Notamacropus eugenii: one gene and its partners. The protein of the gene in region 1 interacts with the protein of each later gene in a pairwise test. Links are inferred from orthologs where the notes say so. Each region holds a gene or a part of one and is shown in the gene's direction. Other genes may lie near its edges. The genes, in order: MAPK14, DUSP1 and SUPT20H.

Evidence for each region.
Region 2: the proteins of MAPK14 (region 1) and DUSP1 interact in binary tests that used the Homo sapiens proteins (3 or more experiments, as listed by UniProt). The link is inferred for Notamacropus eugenii from reciprocal best matches to the Homo sapiens genes MAPK14 and DUSP1.
Region 3: the proteins of MAPK14 (region 1) and SUPT20H interact in binary tests that used the Homo sapiens proteins (3 or more experiments, as listed by UniProt). The link is inferred for Notamacropus eugenii from reciprocal best matches to the Homo sapiens genes MAPK14 and SUPT20H.

What each region holds. Positions count from the first base shown.
Region 1 is NC_092873.1:93,169,963-93,177,849, forward strand, and holds the start of MAPK14 (mitogen-activated protein kinase 14), read left to right. Parts: upstream 1-4,813; 5' UTR 4,814-5,255; coding exon 5,256-5,371; intron 5,372-7,887. UniProt on the Homo sapiens protein: Serine/threonine kinase which acts as an essential component of the MAP kinase signal transduction pathway.
Region 2 is NC_092872.1:404,682,546-404,690,415, reverse strand, and holds the start of DUSP1 (dual specificity protein phosphatase 1), read left to right. Parts: upstream 1-4,794; 5' UTR 4,795-5,271; coding exon 5,272-5,641; intron 5,642-5,993; coding exon 5,994-6,139; intron 6,140-6,565; coding exon 6,566-6,785; intron 6,786-6,904; coding exon 6,905-7,275; 3' UTR 7,276-7,870. UniProt on the Homo sapiens protein: Dual specificity phosphatase that dephosphorylates MAP kinase MAPK1/ERK2 on both 'Thr-183' and 'Tyr-185', regulating its activity during the meiotic cell cycle.
Region 3 is NC_092876.1:98,555,763-98,563,213, reverse strand, and holds the start of SUPT20H (transcription factor SPT20 homolog), read left to right. Parts: upstream 1-4,412; 5' UTR 4,413-4,507; coding exon 4,508-4,510; intron 4,511-7,451. UniProt on the Homo sapiens protein: Required for MAP kinase p38 (MAPK11, MAPK12, MAPK13 and/or MAPK14) activation during gastrulation.

The sequences.
Region 1 (7,887 bases):
TGGGGAATGGATGAAAAAGTTGTGGTATATGAATGTAATAGAATATTATTGTTCCATAAGAAATGGCAAGGAAGTAGACTTCCAAAAAACCTGGAAACATTTGCATGAATGGACGTTGAGTGAAGTGAGCAGAACCGGGAAAACATTGTACAGTAACATCAACATTGTTTGATGATCAAGTTTGACAGACTCAGCTCTTCTGAGCAATGCAATGATCTAAGACAATTTCAAAAGATTCATGATAGAAAATGCTATCCACAAGCAGAGAAAGAACTATGGAGTCTGAATGCAGACTGAAGCATACTATTTCCTCCTTCTTTAGTTGTTTTTTCTTTCTCATGGTTTTTCCCTTTTGTTCTGATTCTTCTTTCACAACATGACTAATATAGAAATATGTTTAATATGATCATACATATATAGCCTATACTTCATGTGGTCTTGGGGAGGGGGTTTGGAAGGAGGAAGGAAAATGTAGAACTTAAAATCTTATAAAAGCAAATGTTGAAAACTAAAAATAAATAAATTTAATTTTAAAAAAATGCCCAACTAGGAGACAGGTTGTGCCCAAGAAACAGCAAGTAGGCCAGTATAGCTGGATCACAGGTTTGTGGAGGGTAATAATTTGGAGCCAGGCTATTAAAGGATTTAACTGACAGAAGATTTTATATTTGATCCTGTAGGTAATAGGGAACTACTGTAGTTTACTAAAGGCATAGTCAGATCTGTCCTTTAAGAAAATCATGTTGGCAGCTAAGCGTATGATGGATTGAAGTGAGGAGAGGCTTTATAAGCAGTACAAGTTTACAAAAAGCTTGGTGAGAGACCTAATTACCCAATCATATTGATGGGGTGATGGGACCTGGGTCCCTAAAAGGAAAAGATCATGCCTTTGAAACCCAGTCCCTGAATTTTCCCATACATTTCAGCAGCCTAGATCACTAGTGCCTCCACCCAAGCCACCCACCTAGATGACCTAATTAGCTTACTTGACATTCCTTTCACTGTTTCACCAGGCCTACCCCAGACTATGTAGCACTCCTTAATCCCATTCAGATCCTTTTTGTATATAAGCATGTCTCACCCTCTTCAATTTGAAGATTCCCTAAGAATCTCTCCTCATTTGTCTGGAAGAAGGCTTGAGTGCTTGAATTCATTCCAGACACTGTCCTGTACCCTGATATTTCAGGGTTTCCAGCAACCCAAACCACATCAATATCCTCTCATGAACATTTACAGATGAAATGTAAATGTAAAATGAAAGAAGAGATTTGCCAAGACTTTTACAAAAAATTGCTTTTTCCTTTGATGACTGGGAGTCACCACTATTGTTTGTTAACTACAAAGAAAAAAAAACTCAACATTTGATTTGGTAGAGCAAGATGCTACCTCAAAGCCTGTCTTCCAACAAGGTGCCTCCCCTGCATATGTTAACTCATACATTCCTTGAACGGTACAATTGAGATAGCTAGGTCTACCCTCTTGTTATTAAAGTGAGACCTAAAACAGAACTAGGCTTTTTAAAAAGTGCTTGCCACTATCATGGAGATCTCTAGTACAGAGTCTAAATGAAAGAGGGATCAATCTCCTGTAGATGGTGAAGTCATCCAAATACCCTTATTTACAGATGACAGGGTGAAAATTCTAAAATGAGATCCATAATCACTTAAAAGACTTTAACCTAATTATCCATATGGAAAAATAAAGTATGTAAAGATGCTTACTGTCCAGACTATGATACAATAAGCTATTAGAGTAAAGAGCCCATAGTGTAGGTCCATCAGGGCATACATATTGGCTCTAACATACACTGCAAATGGACAATGAAATAAAAGAATTAAATAGGAAGGTTAAGAGAGTTTGAGGCAAGGAGATGAATAGTCAGACAAAGGATAGTGGTAAGTATAAAAAATAAAATGGATATTTTTAATTAGGTGAACTTTGCACAAACAAAATTAATGCCATTAAGAAAAGAGAAGTTGTCAACCAAAGAGAAAATCTTTATATCAAACATTTCTGATAATGGTCTAACATCCAAAATATATAGTCAGCCAAGAAAAATATACAAGAACAAAAGTAATTTTCTAATAGATAAGTGGTCAAAAGATAATAAGTAATTCTCAAAAGAATTGCAAACTAGTAAAAACCATATAAAGTGATACCATTAACTAAAAATAAGAGAACAGCAAATCAAAAGAACTCGTTTCACTTTATAACCAGCAAATTGGCAAAGGTACAAAAGATGGGAATAGTCAATGTCAAACGGATTGTGGAAAGAAAGACAGGCACACTAATGCATTGTTGGTAGAGCTGTAACTTGGTCTCACTATTTTATGGAAAGCAATTTGGAATTATTTGTGGAATGTGACTAAACTCCTATATCCTTTGTTCTAGTGTGATTCCACTAGTAGGCATTTTAACCTCAAGTTGGTCAATGACAAAAAAGAAAGACTTCACACATACCAAAATATTTGCTACAGAACTTTGTGATAGCAAAGAACTGGAAACAGTATATACCCAGTAACCAGAGAGTGACTAAACAAACTGTGGTATATTATGGTGCATAATGAAATGCCACTCTCCCTCATCATCTCCTACTGGCTTTCCTGGTTTCCTTCAAATCTCTACTGAAGTTTCATCTTTTCCCACACTTTCTCAAACCTATATCATTGCTAGTGCCTTCCCTATATGGGTCGTATTTATCCCATATATATGTTGTTTCTATTTGTTTGCTTTTTGTCTCCCTCATTAGATTGTAAACTCTGTGAGGGCAGGGACCGTTTTTACCTCTTTTCATAACCCCAATACTTAGCACAGTACCTGGCACATAGCAGGAGCTTAATAAATGTTTACTGACTGATAAGAAACAATATAATGACTAGAGAGAATTACATAAAAATACATAATTGATGCAAAGTAAAGTAAATAGAAGCAGGAAAACAATGTACAAAACAGTTTAATGAAAAAAACCAATTAAAACTGAATGCTGAGAAAGTATAATAACTAATCCAAGTCACCAAAAAGATATATTAAAATGGAGAGGTGAGGACCATGGGTGGGCAACACTACAGATAATGTGAAACTCTCTGGATGTGCTGTTTAGTTCTGCTGAATTTTTTTCCCTTTTTTTTTAAAAGTGTGGCCATACTGGGAAAAGTAAGTGATGCAAAAACTAAAAAGTTTGAAAAAAATTAAAGAGGTCCAATTGGAAGAGGAGGTAGGTAGGTTACATAAAGACAATGAAAGATAATAATGGATGACCCAAGTGTTCCACTGGTACCCATATACCATCAAGAGATATAGAGGAAGGAGCCCAAAATGTTTGGTGGATCCTGTGCAGAGGAATAATTACCATTCAAATGTTGGAAGTAATACCTACACAGAAGAAATCTCAAGTATGGTCAAATTTTGAAGCTTTGAAAGGTCTTCACTATTAGAGTTCTAGACTAGTAATTCTGATGGTGCTTCAAATCAGGTGAAAATATTTTATGATGGGAAACAGGATTTTTTGCAATCTTTTTTTCTTTCCAATCGCTAGTGTTTTGTTTTTTTCAAGACGTTCCCAGAGTACTGAACCACCATGGCTACCCATCTCCCACATTCAAAATCCAACTGAAATGCCACCTCCTCCAGAAAGCCCTCCCTGACCACCCCCAGGCCTGAAAGACCCTCGTGGTACCTGACAGGGCTATTCTTGGAGCTCTTTCCCTCGACTTCAGTACTTTCTCCAAGGATGAAGATGGCAATCCATCCATGCTTTCTCTCTATGGGTCCTTCCTGTCCACTTCTTTACATAAATTTCTCTAGAGGTTCTTTCCTCTTTATCACGTATAACTTTGCATTAAAGGTATTTCTATTTATTCATGTCAGCCAACCCACATAGGCTGTCAGCTTCCAGAAGGCTTGGGAGGATCCTAAGTATCATTTTAGACGTACGAGCACAGCACTTCACGCGTTAACTCATTAATTCCATCAGGTTGAAAGAGCCTCGAGGGCAACATCTGTCTTTTGCCTTTTTGTAGCCCGAGCGATGGGCACGGCGCCTGGCACATGGTGGGCACTCTCATTTAAGACGTTTATTGAATTGACTTTGATCCCTACGTCAGCCCCGTGAGTAGGCGCTCTCGTTATCTCCGTTTTACAGACCAGAAAACTGAGGCTCAGGGGTCAGGAGACGTCTCTGGGCTCACAGTGTCCTGAGGCACAGTCTGTGTCCTGGCATCTCTGCCAGCGCCTCGAGAGATTTAGTACATGACTGTGGCATTGAGGCTGGTGGTGAATCTGCCAAGCGGACACGAGGCTCCCCTCCATCGAGAAGGGTCCAGCTCGGCTGTAAGGCCCTGCAGGGACTGCACGGGCCTCTCCGAGCCGAGGCCAGCGGTTTGCCTGGGCAGAGGCCGGGCCAAGGGGCCGCGCGTTCCTCCCTCTCCGGCCCTACACGGGCAGGCCAGCGGGGTTTGACGCCCATCAATAAATGCGCACCGGCAAGACCCCCGTGTCCCTGTCTCTCCCACGGGACCACCGACAGCTTCCGGTCAGCTCTCATTCCCGCCTGGCCGAGAAACAAATCTCCGACCTGGGGAAGACACGCAGAGGCGTCCGCGAGCTACGTCTCGCGAGAACACGCCTCCTCCTCCGCTCCTCCTCCTCCTCCCCCTCCCCCTCCATAATCCCTTGCCTTCCCCCTGTCCCCCGCGCGAGCAGGTTCCATATTGGGTAAAATCTGGGCTCGCGGAGGACCTCCCCGGACCCACCCCGCGCGAGGCTCTCGCGAGATCTCGTCCAGGAGTTCCCGTCTGCGGGGAGGTGGGGTGGGGGGAGGGGAGGAGCTCGCAGATTCGCAGGCGCCGGAGCCGCAGCTGGCGCGGGAGCTGCCGTCGGAGCCTGAGCTGCACCGCCGCTGCTGCAGCAGCCACCTCCGGGCGGAGAAACCGGCCCTTTCGCTACCCCCGCTTCGGACCCCCTCCCGGCCCAGCCCTCGGGTACCGGGGGGAAGCAGCAGGAAGGCGGGCGCAGTCCCGGGTCCTGAGTGTGGGAAGCCCCCCTTGCCGGTGGCCAGGGTCCCCCGGGGGTGGGCAGAGTCGCCGCGCGCCCCCGGCTGACAGCGGCTTCGGGGGTCGGCGGGGCCGTCGCTGCGGCAGCACCTGCGGAGCGCCGGGGGAGCTGCGGGGGGGGCCCGGCCCCGACGGGCGGGCGGGCGGAGGCGCTGGCTGGCTCCCGCTGGGCCACCTCCCCTGCGCTGCAGCCGTCGGTGGAAGATGTCTCAGGAGAGGCCTAAGTTCTACCGGCAGGAGCTGAACAAGACCATCTGGGAGGTGCCCGAGCGCTACCAGAACCTGTCCCCAGTAGGCTCCGGCGCCTACGGGTCGGTGTGGTGAGTATCCCGAGCTGGAGGGTGGGACGGGGCCGGAGTCTCCAGCTTGCTTCCCAGGAGCTCAGGGATGCGCCAAGCGGCAGGAATTCCCCCCCACCTCGGAGAGGGCACTGCTCCCTCCTGCACACCCTCGTGCCCCCTCTTGCACGGCGGAGCCAGCTTATGACAACTCGTTTGCACCTACGTAGAGCCGTTTGCATTAGTCGGATACCGGACGGCCCGGGTTGCCTGCTCAAGGGGACTCTCTTTCTTCAGACCCCCCCGCCCCGCACCCCGTAGGGCTGCAGGGAAGATGGGAATGGGAGGTCAACTTATTGAGGAAGTTCTACCAGCGGAAGGCAAGCTTGGCCCTTTATTGATCTTTGCCAGCTTCGGCGGGCGTTCGCGACGGTTCCCCACCCGCCCCCGCCGTGTGTCAGATCTGGCACGGGCTGCAGACAGGCCAAACATGGGGAAGCAGCCTAAGAATGGGAGAACTAGTAAGACGTCGTTCTTGGGCAGCAAACCCCACTGGGTTTTGTGCCTGATGGGGGGGAAATGTTTTTTCTTACTTTTTTTTTTTTTGCAAACATCTGTTGATTAAATATGAATCCAGTTTTCAGAAACGGGCATATTTGATGAGATTTCATCATTCTCAACCTTTTGAGCTTGAAATTTCTTACATTTCTGCAAGCCTGCCAATTTTTAATGTGCATTGCAACCTCAGCTGGTTGGAAGCTAATTTTTTTTTTTTAAATGAAAAGAAGGCACCTACAAGGCTGTTGTCATTTTAGAGTTCCATGGAATGATTGCAAGCATTAGAGCATTTTTTTATTCAAGTATTGTAAAGTTCTTGACAGAACATTTTCATTTGACTCTGGGAAAATGGGCCTGGTGTGACATCCCTAAGATGAAAAGTGGTTGTTCACAGTGACAGAAATTATATTTTTGCACGATTGGGATAATATTCAATTCACTTTACCAAAAGTATTGTAAAAGTTTCATACCATGGTGCATTTGCTAGTGTACACAAGAACTTTCTACATTTATTGCTGAGAAAACAGGTGTAGAATGTTTGCCTCAGGAAAACAAGAAAATGGAGAACTTGAAAGAGGTCACTGGCTATGATGAATTGTAAATGTGTAGAAAGTATGTTACCATAATAATTCTTTATGTAGCGTAATTAAATTTTTTAAGTTAGATTCTTAGAATTGGAAGGGACTTTTGAAATTGTCTAATGTAGCCTTCCAGCAAAAGCAAAACTTCTGCAGTGTCACTAACAAATGTTCATTCTGTCTCAGTTTGAACAGTTCACTTCATATCTCATCGTTTCACAAGGCAGACCTTTCTCTTCTTCAAATTTATTTTAGTTTAAACACGTATTTAGCCAATGAAAGCCATATGATGAATTGTGTACTTTAGATTTGTCATAAATATTGGCCTGGAAATAAATAGGTGATGGTTACAGGGTTTTTTTTCTTTAGTGTTGTGTGCATATATAATTTGAAAATTGTTTGTAACAATTTCATACTTGCCAAATAATTTCTGTTTTTAGGAAATATTCCTCTTTGGCACACTCCTTCAACATGATTCCTGTGCTCCTTAGAGTCACATCATGAATTTCCTGTTTGGTAGAATTTGCTCTGAAACTGAGATTGTGCAATTGCATCCAGTAACAGATCATATTGCATTTTTAAGCTCACTGTTTAATATGTGTAGCAGATTGTACAGTACTCTGCATCTTTTTTTCCCATTCTTTCCAAATGAAAATTTTCATTATAAAGCAACTCGATTGAAATAATTTCTTTTCTGAAAACTCATCTATATTTGCACATTTTCAGTTTTATGTGTGACTATTTCTTTACCAGATCATTTGGTCCATCTTAAGTAAATCAATCTTAATGAATTCGATTTTTGTTTCCAACTAGAATTATTTATTAGTTGAGTGATTTTATGCTAGATGAACTAGTTGAATTGAACTAAAGAATCTACCCAATGGATTTATTCTTGCGTGTACTGTTTGTTTTCTGAACATTAGCAGTTCTGCATGAAGTAAACTGTCCACTGAGATATCTCTTATGACAGTGTGAGAATAGTAAATCAATGAGTACATTGTTTGGTTTGGTGTTATCTACTACATTTGCTGATTAGCTTAATTTATGAGCTATGCCTTTAAAGTAAAGTGACTAAAACATACATGCAAAGAGTTTGGGAGCAAGCTCTTCAAAACCTTCATAGTTTGTATGCCTAAGACTCTTGCAACATATTTGGAGCTCTTTTGGAATTATCCATCAGAATACATTCTTGTGAATATTTTCAGTCGTAGCATATTTTCTTCCTTTTGAAGCTGCTAGCTACAACCTTTTCCTTTGTAGGTAGGTTTCTGGTGGAGTAATGTAGGTGATGAAACTGGAAGATACTGGTTTTTTGGTCAAAAAGCCATGTACATCTATAAAGCATTGAGACTTTTTTGTGGTTCTTAAATTGTCCTAAAGGCAGTTTGGAAAAAAGGATCTTCATTAATGCTTTGAGCAATG
Region 2 (7,870 bases), on another chromosome or scaffold:
CTCCTTCCCTGAAAGATGATGCTCAATTCTCAGGATAGTTGGTTGACAGGCTCCTTTGCCTGTCGATCTTTTAATGTAAAATCTACAAGGTCCTGTGGTTCCATGATATTTAAATTGTTTCTTTCTGGCTGCTTGCAGTATTTTCTCCAGATAATCCTGGAATTTAGCTGCAATATCCCTTGTCATTTTCAATTTGAGATCTCTTTCAGGAGGTGATTGTAGATTCTTTAGATGGCTATTTTACCCTCTGATTCTAGGACTTCAGGGCAGTTTTCCTTGATGATTTCCTGAAAGATGCTGTCCAGGCTCTTTTTTTTGATCATGACTTTCAGGTAGACCAATCATTCTTAAATTATCTCTCCTGGCTCTATTTTTCAGGTCAGTTGTTTTTTTCCAATGAGGTATTTTACTTTTTCTTCTATTTTTTCATTCTTTTCATTTTGTTTAACTGATTCTTGATGTCTCATAGAGTCATTAGCTTCTACTTGTCCAATTCTGGCTCCACTATTCCAGGATTTTTCCTGGGGTAATAGTCTCTGGGTTTTTCAAGGTCCATAAGGGAGGATGAGAGCAATTTACTGCTTACTTTGCCATCATGACTCCTGGAAATTGAAATAGGTCTCCAGGTCTATTTAGTACTACATTTTTCACATTTTGGTGCATTTTGTTGGTGATTTAGCTGTCTAAAATGACCCCCAAACATAGTGCTGAAGGGCTGACTAGTGTTCCTAGGCATGAGAAGGCTGTGATGTGCCTTAAGGAGAAAGTATGTGTGCTAGATAAGCTTCATTTAGGTATGAGTTAGTGTTGTTTGCTGTGAGTTCAATGCTAAAGATTCAACGATATGGAACATCCAGAAAAAAAGAAGAGAAAATTCACAGATTTATGTGAGGCTGTTCTAGAAAGTGCTAAAATAAACTGTGATTAGAGTCTTGCAGGAACTTAACCTGTATTTCTCCTAAGTGTAATGGTTCAGTATTTGCTAATTCAGTGTTTGCCACAACTTAATAGACTATAACTACCTGGAATAATGAGAATCCACTGAATATACAATGTAAATTAATCTCAAAGGGAAGGCTCTAGCAGTCCTACCCTACAGAAGGTAGGATTTGAGCTCAGTCTTGAAAAAGGAAGGTAGGTAAGCCAGGAGGTGGGGACCAGAAGGGAGAGAATTCCAGGAGAGTAACCAGGGAAAATGTACTGAGAAAAGAGAACAGGAACAGTCCATTGTCATGATTGCTAAGCACACAGAAGGTAGTGAGGTATAAGAATGCTAGAAAGGAAGACTTCAAAAGCCAAATAAAGCATTCATATGTGATCCTGGAGATAATAAGGAGCCACTGGAGTTTATTGGGTTGGGGGAAAAGGAGAGGAAGGTGACAAATCAATTTGATAGAGACAATAATTAATATACAAGAACTTCTGTTTGGAAATAGATTCATGTGGGCAGAGTTATTGCTAATTAGAATTATCTGTGACCCAACATATTTTACAGTAACCATGAAACAAAAAGACAGTTCACAGTAGGAAAAAATATAGTATAAGTTCATAGGTTTTGATTTGCTTTAATTGTACAAGAATTCTGTTTAAGTAAATCAAAAGTCTTAGAGAACTATCTCCCTGAAAGAAGCATCTCCCTCTATAATGACTCTATCCAAGGTGAACAAAGTTTTAAATGATCTCTCCCAATTGATCAATCACAAGAGATTTCCATAGCTTAATTTGGTCACCATAAACAAGGCAAACTTTCTCTAATAATTTTAGTTTCAGTGGATCAAGATCCCTCCTGAGAACTGAATGTCTACCATTCAAAGAAGACTGACTGAGTCTTTGATTCAAGTGAGACCAAGGACTTTTGGATATGCCATTGTATTATTTCTTAATATATTATAATGCAACTGAAGCCTGGGTCCTATATGCTTCTAAAAGGTATATGTAATGCTCAGTAACAATGTTAGAATACATTCATTCAACATTTATTGAACAACTCCTATATACAAAACAATGAACTGGATGTTGTTCTGTATTTGGTTCAGTTAGTCATTTATGAAGCCTCTTCTTTGTGCCAGGCATAGTGCTAAGTGCTGGGGATAAAAAAGGCAAAAGACAATTCCTGCCCTAGAGGAGCTAATGCATGGGGGCCTTGGAAGCCTAGTTCAAATTCTTTGGGGCCTTATGTTAGGTAGAAAAAACCAAATGTTTCGAAGAATATTCTAAATAATTTCTTTTATTACAGAGGGAAATACATGAAAAGTGTTTTGTAATGATTATGCCAGAAATAATGCCTAACACCTAGCCTGTATTAATTATGTACTGGGCCTCAGAGTGGGGAAGACCTGTGTTCAAGTCCTGCCTTTGACTCTTATTTTCTGTGTGACCCTGGACAACTCACTTGATCTCTCAATACCCTAGGAAACTTTCTAAAACCAAAAGTTGCAGAATAGTGACTGAAGCTGTTTTGGTGGGTAAAGATTCCAAGTTTCCTCATCAGGAGTTTCCTGGACCATCTTGTTACATCTTAGAAATCTTCTAGTCCAATTTCTTCATTTTTATAAAGGAGGAAAGTTAGTTACTTCATATCTTCCATGTCAAAATCATAGCTAAATCAGGATTCAAACCCAGGTTATGTGACTCTTAATTCATGGTTCTTTCTACTGTACCACAGCCTTTAGGGCCACTGGAATTGTTCTTCCACACTGCTGGGAGCTCATAAGAATGCTAAATGAATGGAGATAATAATATTTGCCTTTGTTCACTTGTTCCTATCTTTAAATGAGCTATGACCTGAACCTGTTCGAATAATGGAAGCTTTGACTAGGCAGTTCAATTAATCCTAAGAATTTTTAGTATATAGAAAACCCTCTGTCTTTGGAGTTTTTCATAGAACAGCTATGAATTCATTTCAACAAATATTTTCTGAGCATCTACAATGTGTATACTCAATCTATTTTCTGTCTACTGGAGGGGATAAACTCATAGAATCATAATACAAAATAGACCTTTGTAAACCTCTTACACATTATCTTGGTCTTTGAGAATTCAAAGTACAGAGGATTGACTTCTGCACTGGACACATAATAAAAGCTTTTATAATGATGTCTACTATGTAATACCAGTAACCTACTATGCCACCATAAACTATAAACAAACAACCACAGAAGCTACATAACAAGCTAGAAACAAACAATGATTTTTGAAGAATTTTCTTTTTTTCTTCTTTTGTAATTATTAACACGTTGGCACAGAGGGCCTCTCTGATCTGATATGAGCAATAACTGGACTGAAAATAAATTTAAGAAAATTCCAACCAGAGACTTGTGCCCTGAACCTTTAGAAAAGAAACCCATCTGGGAGTTTCAGTACGCGTAGGCGCATCTGAACCCAGCCTGACATAAGAAGTTGTATCCTGATGAACCAGCATTCAGTAAAGCGACACAGAGGTCCGTTTGTGAAATCCCCAAAGAACAGTGGGAGAAGAAACCACAACATGTTCTTAAAGTCCTGGGCACTAAGACACATAGTGGTGTAATATTTACATACTGACCTAGTCCAGTAATACAAATTGCAGAAGTATGTATCTACAATCAAAATGGAACTAGAGACTAGAGGGGTTCAGGGGAGGGGAGGTGGAATAAAAAAGGACAAGTGACAGTTTTCTAAAAAGATCAAATGACAAAGCTAAAGGGAACTTGCAGAAATACTCATAAACCTGTGTCACTTGAATGCACAACACACTTTCGATTATTGTCGGATCTAAGTGTCTCTAGGAAACTCGCCCCAGTTGTCCTAAGTCGGTTGGTAGAAGAGGCTTCGAAGGCTCGTTTAAAAAAACCTCTCGCCCTTCAGTGTCCAATGAGATGCCTGGTTGTCCTCCCTTGTCCTAGAGGCGGGTTCTGGTCACTAAGCTGCCGCATTTTAGCACAATGAGGCTTCCTCCCTAATCCCATTCAATAGTAACAACGAGTTAGATCTCAACTCCGAAGAACTAGATCACCAAACCCGACAATTGATTCAGCATATAGACAGTGAATGAAGGGGACCCACTTTGGGTATGAATGAGTTTTCTAACAGCAAAATTATATATTTTCCTATAAACACCAGCCTCCCTGGTTCTGTTGTAACCACGTTCCGAACGGCTCCCAGAGGACGCAATCATGGGATTTTAGAGTTGGAAAGCTTAGGGATAGATTAGTTCATACACCCTTCATCTTACAGGTCAGGACCTGAGGACCAGAGGAGGTTGTATCTTGCTCACTGTCGCTGCCAAGGTCAGAGCCAGGATTGGAACCAAAGTATTCGGATTCCGAATCCAGTGCCTCTTCCTGTGCCCCCTCGCAAGACTCCCGATAGAAGCGAGCTGGTTCGTAGGGCGCGTATTCTTAGCTCTCTCTTAGGTACATCTCATACCCTTTAATCAGCTCTTGGAAGGGCGGGCAGTGGCTTCGCTTCCTCCGTCCCCTCCCCCTTCCCCCCCAGGGAGCAGCTGCTGGCTCCAGTACCTGGTTTCCTGCCCAAAGAGCAGGATGGGGCGGATAGGGGGAGGGGAAGGAGGTGGGGAGGCCCGGCTGGTGCTCTGGCGCCGCGTTTTCATAGAGTTGTCTTTGCTGGTAGGGCGATGACGTCTTCGCTTCTGGCACCAGGAGGGCTGAGCGCGGGCCTGGCCGGTGACGTCACCTCTCAACCACGTGACCCTGCCCCATTCAAACAAACAAACACAGACACACACAGACACACACTCACACTCACACAGAGGGGGGGAAAAAGTTCCGGGTTGGACTATATAAGGCAGCTTGTCCAACGTGCGCTTAGCAGAAAGCACAGTGAGGGTACAGCTGTCTGAGATCCGCTTAATAGAAAGGAAAGCAGGAAGAAAAAGAAAGAAACTCCATTTGGACACTTTTCTTGTCTTCTACCTTCTTCGAATACAAAAGTCTTAAGGAAGCTTGTTTTGAGCCACAGACTCTACGCTAGAAAACCTGGTCTAAGGGGCTGTGTTTTTACAAGGAATGTAAGACAAACAAAACAAAAAGACTCCAGCCCTTTGGAGAGAAACAAAGAACTTTCCCTGAGCCCGGGAGCGCCAGCCAACCCGCTGTGGATTTCCCTTTTTTCCCTTTCCCCACCCAAGAAGGAAGGTGATTTAAGTCCCCCTGCCCCTTTTTGTTTTGTTTGCCTGCTACGTGGTGAGCGCTAGCCCGCTCGGCTCTGTCCCGCATTCCCCCACTCTCGATCTTGCCACCTTTGGGCGCGCTGGGGGGCCTCCCTCGAGCAATGGTCAACATGGAAATCTGTTCCCTGGACTGCGAGAGCTTGAGAGCGCTGCTGCAGGAGCGGGCGGCTCAGTGTCTGGTCCTGGACTGCCGCTCTTTCTTCTCCTTCAACTCCTCGCACATCCTGGGCTCCTTCAACGTGCGCTTCAGCACCATAGTCAAGAGGCGCGCCAAGGGCGCCATGGGACTGGAGCACATCGTCCCCAACGAGGAGCTGCGGAGCCGCTTGCTTGCTGGCCTCTACCACGCCGTGGTGCTCCTGGACGAACGAAGCCCGGAGCTGGAGTTGTCTAAGAGGGACAGCACCCTTATGCTGGCCGCCAGTGCCCTGTGTAGGGAGGCTCGCGCAGCGCGCATCTGCTTTCTCAAAGGTACGGATTGCCCTAACTTGCCACTGGCAGTCCTTGTGGGGCTAGTGATGGGGACGAAGTGGGGCAATCTTTAGGGGCTCTCTGAAAAATCTCTGTCTTCCGGAGCTTTTTTACTCAAATACTCCTGGCCCTTATTCTCGACACAATCGCGAACCCTTTTAAACAAAAACTCCGAGCAAAAGCGATTGTCACAGAGAGGATCTTAAGCTTTGCTAAAAACACCAGACTAGGAATTTCTTTGCCTCCCTCTCTTGTTAAAGTGTGGTTTCAGGTTGGGGGTAATGATGAGAAGCGGAATGAAATACCTGGTTGTCAGAGGTAATGAGAGACAATGTCTATTTTGTATTTTCAGGAGGATACGAAGCTTTCTCTTCTGCCTGCTCGGAATTGTGCAGCAAACAGTCGACACCTATGGGTCTGAGCCTACCTCTGAGCTCCAACGTCCCCGGCAGTGCAGAATCAGGGTGCAGCTCTTGTGGCACACCTCTCTATGACCAGGTCAGTATAATGGGGGAGGGAGAAAGGCACAGAGCTCGAATATTAGGGAGAAGGGGCATAGAAAATACCCTGTAATGACCACCAGGAATTTTTAATTTTTTTCATTTCAGAGTAAAGTAGATCGAGGTAGATAGGACGTTAGATATCCAGGTGTTGACCATCCTTTAAGACAATGGAAATAATTCACTTTTATAGTGACACGATGATTAATGAATCCTATCGTCTCCCACCCCCACCACCCAGAGTCACTGCCTTGTGGTAGTGTGCTCATTTCTTTCGGCAGTAATTGTATCTAGTGAATTGTCCTCCTCAGCCAATAACTTAATAAGAAAATCAGGCACCAGAAGGGTTTGAATATTTTGCACATATTTCATATGGCATAATTTGGGACTGTGTCTGACCATTTAAAAAATTCTTGTATTTCAGGGTGGTCCAGTGGAGATCCTGCCTTTTCTGTACTTAGGCAGTGCTTATCATGCGTCCAGGAAAGATATGCTGGATGCCTTGGGAATCACAGCCTTGATCAATGTCTCTGCAAATTGCCCCAACCATTTTGAGGATCACTACCAGTACAAGAGCATCCCTGTGGAGGACAACCACAAGGCTGATATAAGCTCCTGGTTCAACGAAGCCATTGACTTCATAGGTAAATCAATCATTATGAATGTCTTTCAAAACATTGGGTTTGGGTTATGCTGGGAAGAAAAAGCCCAGTGTATTGATACTTTTTTGGGGGTAAACAGTTGTCCATTGTATGTATTCCAGACTCTATAAAGAATGCAGGAGGAAGGGTGTTCGTTCACTGTCAGGCTGGTATCTCCCGATCAGCCACCATCTGCCTAGCTTACCTCATGAGGACCAATCGGGTCAAACTGGATGAGGCCTTTGAGTTTGTGAAGCAAAGAAGAAGCATCATCTCTCCCAACTTCAGCTTTATGGGTCAGTTATTACAGTTCGAGTCCCAAGTCCTAGCTCCTCACTGTTCGGCAGAAGCAGGAAGTCCTGCCATGGCTGTACTTGACCGAGGGACCTCCACAACCACAGTCTTTAATTTCCCTGTCTCCATCCCCGTCCATTCTTCCTCTAATGCTTTGAACTACCTTCAGAGCCCAATGACCACTTCCCCAAGCTGCTGAGAGACTCAGGGAAGTTACTCAAGAACCACATGAGGAACTTGAGGCTCCTTCCGTCTAAAACAAAGTGCAATAACTCTGGGGGATAATGTCTCAGCTTTGTTATGTCATCTGGGTTCAACTCTTTCCTGAACTCCACACTTGAGAACAACATAGGTGAACTAGACTGAACTGACTCTAAGGTTCATTTGTGCTCAATTCTGAAGTGTGTCTTGGACCAATGTTTAGTTGGTACATCAGGTTCCTTTGGAGAGAAGCAAAAGAAAAAAGACTTTTCACAGCTCACTTTGTGGGCTGATCCTAGTGCCCTCTCTTCTTAGAACTTTAGTCTTTGTGCTTGACAAACCTACCAGTATTACCATTTCTGGACACTTAGCCAGCAGAAGAGGCTGTTCGTTCCCCTTTGATGTGTGTATACACACACACACACACACACACACACACACACACATATACAATGCAAAAGTTCCCATTATTTATTTGTGTAGATGTGTTCAGCTTTCACAAACCTCAGATTCCACTTCTAGAAAAACCAAATACCTCAATTTTTTTTTTGTTGGAGTACTGTAATCCTGTAAATACATCTTTAAACATTTGT
Region 3 (7,451 bases), on another chromosome or scaffold:
GTATATCACATCACAGCTTCGCTCTCTAGCCTCTCTGCTTTCAAAGGTAATAAAGTATAGAGCAAGGGCCTAAAATTGATGGCAGATAGGTGGTATAATGCACAGAATGGAATTCTGCTTCAGACAACTGTTCAGTTGAGTCTGACTCTTTATGACCCCTTTTGGAGTTTTCTTGGCAAAGATATTAGGATGGTTTACCCTTTCCTTCTCCAACTCATTTTACAGAGGAAGAACGAAGGGACTTGCCCATTGTCACACATCTAGTAAATAATCTGAGGTTGGATTTGAACTCAGGAAAATGAGTCTTCCTGACTTACGCCCAGCACTCGATCCACTGAGCCACCTAACTGCCCCAGTTCAGACAATTACTAGCTGTGTAATTTTGGGCAAGTTTATTAACTTGTCTGCCTCAATTCTGCATCTGTAAAATGGAGATAATAAAAGAACCTACCTATAAGTATCAAATGAGATATTTTATTTGTAAAAAAAAAAAAAAGTGCCTGGCACATGATAAGCACTATAAACGTGGGCTATCTTCATTGTCGTCATTATCCTCCATGCAAGATTCCCTCTTTGACTGTAAAGGACCTGTCACTTGTTCTGAGCCTCAGTTCCTTCATCTGCAAAACAAGGGTTAGGCTACCTGACCTCTGAGGTCTCTACTGCATCTAAGATCCTGGAGTACAGGCATGAGATGATCTTTCTCCTGAACTCTCAGGGGGCTCCTCTGAAGGAAGAACCCTAAGAAGAACTCTTAACTTCCCTTCCAGCTCCGACAGTGTATATAAAGCTTTGAAAATTCAAGACAAAGTAAGGGCATCACAGTTTCGTTCTCTGCTAAGTACAATCAGGAATGGACAGCTCCCTGCAAGATCTGATTTCAGCGGTGGCAATGACATTGACATGAAGCCTAAGGAAATCCTCCAGATCCGTTGTCTCGCCCTTTCAGAAGAGGGCTCCTTGAGTTCAGAGATGGTCTATTCTGGGCGTACTCCCAGGACCTAGCAGTGTGTTGTGTATGGTAAGCTTCATTCATTCAATTATTGGCCAAGGAAGACTCGAATTTGAACGCAAGACCAAGGGTGTCCCTGAACCCGGCAGCCTCAGTTTCCCCGTAAGTCACTTAATCGCCCTCAGGCTTAATCGAGATAATCCTAGCATTTACCGCACAGAATTACTGGTTCAAATACGTACGAGCCCTTTGCAAATGCCCACTATTACTATTTCTTACTGTAAATCATTTACAACTCTCGCCCTCAGAAGGAGCTCCTGGAGGGAAGGGGCCGTTTTATTTGTTTTGCCTTTCTTGGCTTCGCTTACCTGGGAGCCAAGGAGAGAGTAGGTGTTTGATAAATGCTTGGCGGTTGATTGATTGATTGATTGGATGATTAGCTAGAAGGGGAAGCAGACTCTGCACGAGCTTCGAGGCGGAGCGCTCGCTCGAAGGACTGCTCGGAGGAGGCATCGGGAGGCCAAGGTGTGACTAGGCTGCTTTTTTTTTAATTACTCAGGTGGGGTCAGAGATGGGAATCCAAGCCGATGGCGACCTAGAAAGAGATGGAAGCGGCTAAGGCACAGAGGTGGGGCGAGGACGGCCGCGAGCCCCTAAGGGCCCTGGAGGAGCAGCGGAGAAAGTGGAGAGCGCCCGCCGCCACAGGACAGGCCTCGGGCCTCCCGCCTTCTCCCGCACTCAGGGGCCCAGGCCTGGGGCTCCGCCCCGCCCCCGGCTCCTCCCCTTCCGCCGCCGCCGCCGCCGCCGCCGCCGTGAAGGAGCCCAGCCGGGCCGGCCGAATCGGAAGTGCTAAGACCGGAACAGGCCGCCGGCCAGGCGGGCGGCGAGGAGGGAGGGAGCTGAGTGCGTTCGGCTGGGCCGGGCAGGGCTGGGCCGGGGGGAGCCGCCGGCTCACTCGCTGTGTGGATCGTCCTGCCAAGGCCGGAGCTGGCGGCGCCGTCATGAGGCCAAGCGCCCCAGCCGCCGCCGCCGCCGCAGGGGCAGGTAGGGAGCGGGCGGGCAGGAGGCGAAGGGTGTGGCGGGCCGCTGGGGCCCGGCCCGGCCCTGCCTCAGCGATCGGCCTGGCCGGGCCCCCGGCTCCCCTGCGGCTACTCGCTGGCGCCCAGGACGACCGTCATCTCTGCTGGGGCCGGGGGGTAATGGGGGCGTGAAGAGGGGGGAGAGCCGTCCCCACGCCCTCCCCCTGACCCCGGCGAGTGTGGGGCTGGGGGCGGGCTGGGGTCGTGGTGCCCCCGCCTCGCCTCGGCCTCCCCTGGGGAGCGCGGGTACTCCCTCCCTCCGGCCTCCTGCTGGGGCTGGGCTCCGGCCCAGGTTCCCGGGCACAGGTATTTTCCGGAGACCTGGCACGGATTTTGTACCTGGCCGTGGCCCGGCTCCTTCCCGTCAGCCCCTGCCTCGCTGCCCGAGGCCCCCGGGCCTAATGGGAGAGTTTGCTTTTAAGATGGTCACTTGTGCTGCCCTTGAGCGTGGAGTGATGTGGGCCACGCAGGGCATCCATCCCCAAGTCTCTGGGGGGGCGTCCTCCAAAGCATCCTAGTACTGGAGGGGGCCTCCGAGGGGTCCGGGCCAAATCCCTCATTTTACAGACGAGGAGCCCAAGGCCCCTGGAGGTGGTGACTAGCAGAAAGCCTTTCCCCTCTCCTACTCCTTGCCTACCTTTAGATGAATTATGTATTCATCTCCGGACACTGCCCAAGTTGGAGGAGCTGGAACAGAGATGGCACTTAATAAACGCTGGTTATCTCAACCCAGGCAGTTGCCTAAGGGATCTTTTTCTATTATTTTTCTTGCACATGCAACTTACTGAAAGTCCTAAGTGAGAATTCCCTTGCTTTTCCAAATTAGGATGAGTAGGAAAGTAACACCTTGAGTGAGCATGAAACAAAATCAGATAGGGAGCCAGGTGAACAAGAACGTAGAAAGGATCACCCAAGTACTAGAAGGGTGATTGAATTTCTTGCTTGACCATCAAATGAGTTTAACTTGTGGAGTATTCTTTAGCCTGCATAGATAAAAAGAGATGAGGGTTAGGTGCTTTTGATAAATAGAGTGATATCAGCCTGCATAGTTATATCCCTCAAAGTGATTTTTAAAGTTGCTAAAATTCAAACAATCTTCATAGTTTATTTCAAGTTGAATTTTAAAGTAATCGATCTTGTCGGTATTTAAAATAAAATTCAGTCAGTCACAAACTTTTGATTGGTCACCCTCTCATCCTCCCTATATATAATTTATAAGTTAGTTAAATCATAGAATGAAAGAGTTCCTCTTTCAGAAGCCCTAATTAGCTATATGGCAGAATTTGGAATCAGAAGACCAGTGTTTAAATCCTGATTATGTTCTTTATTTACAGTGTGGCATGCAAGTCAGAGCCTCAGTTTCTTCATCTCTAAAATCAATGGACAAGTATTTAAGCACTTACTACTATGTGCCTCCATTATACCTCTCAGGGTGGTTGTGAGAATCAAGTGAGGTCACAATTTCCCACTTGGTGCCTGGCACATATCAGGCACATAATATACATTGTGCAAGCAATACACAGTTAAAATATATCTCCTTAACCTTACATCCCATCTTGAATAAAGAGGCTTCATCCTTTGAGGTTCCTTCTAACTCTGAACCCAGAGCCACAAATTGTACCCTTAGCTCAGTAAGCTAACTGCACATTAGTGGTCACGTGGAGCCAGGGAAAAAATTCATACAGATTAATAACTAACATATAGCACTTTAAAGTTTACTGTCATTTGATGTACATAAGAACCCTGTAATGTAGGTGCTATTACTATCCCCATTTTATAGAGCCGAAATTTTTGGAGTCACACAACTAATAAGTAAATAAAATTTGAACTCAGGTCCCAGACCCTAGGTCCAGTGTACTATCTGCTATGAAACTTTGCTGCCACAGGAGAATAACAAAATATATTCCCTTTGTTGAAGGGGAGAGAAAAGACTTTATACAAAAAAGTTCATTGAAATTGATAGAATTTTTAATCCTACTTTGCAAAAAAGTGTTTAGTGAGCATTGAAACTGATTTAAGAGAATAACTAACCCATAAGAGATTATGAAAAAGGTTTACTTCTTTGAGAGTAGAAGGTAGTTTAAACTATTCAATTATATTCTTCCAGAGAATGAAGTGTTTGGAAACTATGAGTATTTGATGATACGATATGCAAAATAAATGTATCTACTCAGTGTTGTTAATTTTACTTTTCAGAAATGATTTAAAGATTTTGTATAGAAGTTCTAGAAAGTGCTTTTTTAGTATTTGTATGGGAAGCTTAAAAATGTGAAGATGACTGTGTCACAAGCAATTTGCCAAGTTAGCCACCGAATACCTTTTGTTTCACTTCCATGAGCATTTTATGTTAATAAAATTGTTTTTGTTTTTTACTCTAACAGTACTATGAAATTGATCTTGGACATGATTGTCATCACCCTTCATCTACGCACATAAATTATTTTCTTCTTCTTTTGAATAATTTTTTTATGCTACAATGGTAAGTTTCATCTTTTGAGGTAAGGGGTCTGGACCTGTGATTTTATTGGTTTAGGGAACCCCCACTATAAAGAAATTTCCTCTGCTAGGCAGATCTATTCTGAAACTTAGAGTGCCTGGGGCATCAAGAGGTTAAGTGACTTGCCTACAGTCACACAGCCACTCTGTTTCATAAGTTCGGACTTAAGCCCAAGTGTTCAAACACAGAGGCCAGGTTTTTATCCACAACTCAAATGCCTCTCAAAATGAATTTTAAGGCATCTAGATGACACAGAAAATTGGGCACTGAACCTGGAGTCAGGAAAACCTGAGTTCAAATCTTACCTCAAGGTGTTACCTGTTTAATGCTGGACAAGGTATTTAATCTGTGTGCCTATGAAATAAAGATAATAATAGCATTTACCTTGTTGTAAGGATAAAATCAGTCTGTAAACATTTATTAAGTGACTACTGTGTGTCAGGCACTGTGCTAATTGCTGGGGAAAGCAAAAGAGTCAAAAAACAGTCTTTTCCCTCAAGGAGCTCACAGAAAGAGAGACAGCAAGCAAACAGAAATGTACAAACAAACTATACAGGATAAATATGAAATAATTAAAAGAGGGAATGCAGTAAAATTAAGAAGGGTTGGGAAAGACTTTCTGAAGAAGGTAAACTTATAGTTGGGACTTCAAGGAAGGCAGAGATGAGGAGAAAGAGAGTTCCAGGCATGGAGGGCAGTCAGAAAAAATGCCCAGAGCTGAGAGATGAAGTGTCTTGTTCATGGAAGAATCAGGAAGAATCAGGAGACGAGTATTAGATGTAAGAAGACTGGAAAGATAGGAAGGAACTAGGTTACAGACAGCTTTGAATGCCAGACACAGAATTTTTTATTTGATCCTGTAAGTGATAGGAAGCTACTGAAGTTTATTTTAGAGGGGAGGAGGGTAACCTGATCAGACCTGAATTTCAAGATAAGCACTCTTATGGCTAAATGGAGGATGGATTGGAGTGGGGAGAAACTTGAGGCAGTCAGACCCACTAGTAGGCTATTGCAATAGTGAAGACATGAAGTGTTAAGGGCCTGTACTAAAGTGATAACAGTGTCAGAGAGAATGGGGCATATTGGAGAGACGTTGCAAAGGTGAAATCACCAGGCCTTGGCAGCAGATTAGATGTGGAAGGACTCAAGACTGAGGAATCCAGGATGACCCTTTGTTGTAAGCCTGAAGGACTGGGAGGATGGTCTTGCCTTCTACACTAATAGGGAAGCTGGGGAATGGGGTTACAGTTTAGAGGGAAGGACAATGAGTTCTATTTGGGACATAATGAGTTTGAGATGTTGACTAGACATGAAGTCCAAGATGTTTGAAAGGCATTTGGGCAGGATAGGTTCATTTTCGAATCATAGGCATGGAGATGGTAATTAAATCCATGGGAGCTGATGAGATTACCAAGTGACATAGTATAGAGGGAACAGAGAAGTCCCAGGACAGAATCCCTAGGAACATTTAGCACAGAAGACTGAGAAGAACTGGTCAGATAGGTAGGAGAGAACTAGGAGACATTGGTGTATTGAAAACCTGGAGAGAGTATCAAGGAGAAAAGAGTGATTATCATTTTCAAAGAGGTCAAGAAGAATGAGGATTGAGAACAGGCCAGTGGATTTGATAACTGAAATCATTAATAACTTTGGAAAGAGCAGTATTGGTGGAATGATGAGATTGGAATTCACATTGTAAGACTTGGTCAAGAAGTGAATGAGAAAAGAGAAATCAGAAGTATCTATTGTCAACAGGGCTTTTCAAGGAGGTTGCCCATAAGAGGCAGAAGAGATAGAATAATAGCAGAGGTGAAAGGATCAAGTGAGGGATTTTTGAAAATGGGGGGGACGTAGGCAAGTTTGGGAATGATCCAGTAGAGAGGGAGAGATTGAAGATAAGTGATAGAATGTGGTTGACAGAGGGGTTATTTTGGGGAAGACAAGATGGAAGAGGCTCACTTGTGGAGGTGGAAGAGTGGGCTTTGGGAACAAGTAAGTTTACCTCACTATGTGAGACAAAGGTTAAGGAGGAGTTAGTGGCAGAAGTCATTGTAGTGATACAAGATGGAGAAGAGGGAGCACTTAGAGAATGACCTCAATCTAATTTGGCAGGGAGGGTCTAAGTAAAGTATAGGGCAAGGTTCTCATTTGAGGGGAAGTAGGGTTGAGGGGAGCCACGGGAAGTTGGAGAAGGTTATGAAAATTGAGAGTAAAGTACTTTTGTAAAGTACTTCATAAATCTTAAAGTATTATATAGAAGTGCTAGCTATTATTATTTTAAGGAAGAGACAGCTAGGTCACTCAGTGGATAGAGCACTGGTCCTGGAGTCAGGAAGACCTGAGCTCAAATGTGACTTCAGACACTCACTAGCTATGTGACCCTGGGCAAGTCACTTAACCTATTTGCCTTAATCCCTTGGAGAAGGAAATGGCAAACCACTCCCATATTTTTGCAAGAAAACTCTGTACAGGGGCACACAGAGTCAGACACAGCTGAAAGACCAGTTATCTTAAGATGTCTTAAAATATATGTTCTCCATGAATATGGCAGCATGTTTTTTATGACATAAAAGAAGTTGCATCAAAGTGCTTTTTCAAAGTAGCCTAATCTAGTGTGAAAGTACTTTAGTAATCACATTCAAGTTCTCTACCTCACAATTAACGTATCTATATTATAGACATCTTTTTTTTTTCTTTTCCGGGGTCTTTGGTGTATACTAAAAAGTTAAATATTTACTTTTTATACATAACAGAAAAGTTTCCAGCCACATGTAATTTTTCATTTCTGTTTACTTGAACTAAATGTTTAACCTGATGTATTTCTTCTGCCCAACTATCTCCTCTTTAGCAGTTACGCTTAGACAATAGTTGACCTTTTTTGGAAGTAAGTTCCCATTGTAAGCTCTTAAAGGGCAAAGAACTG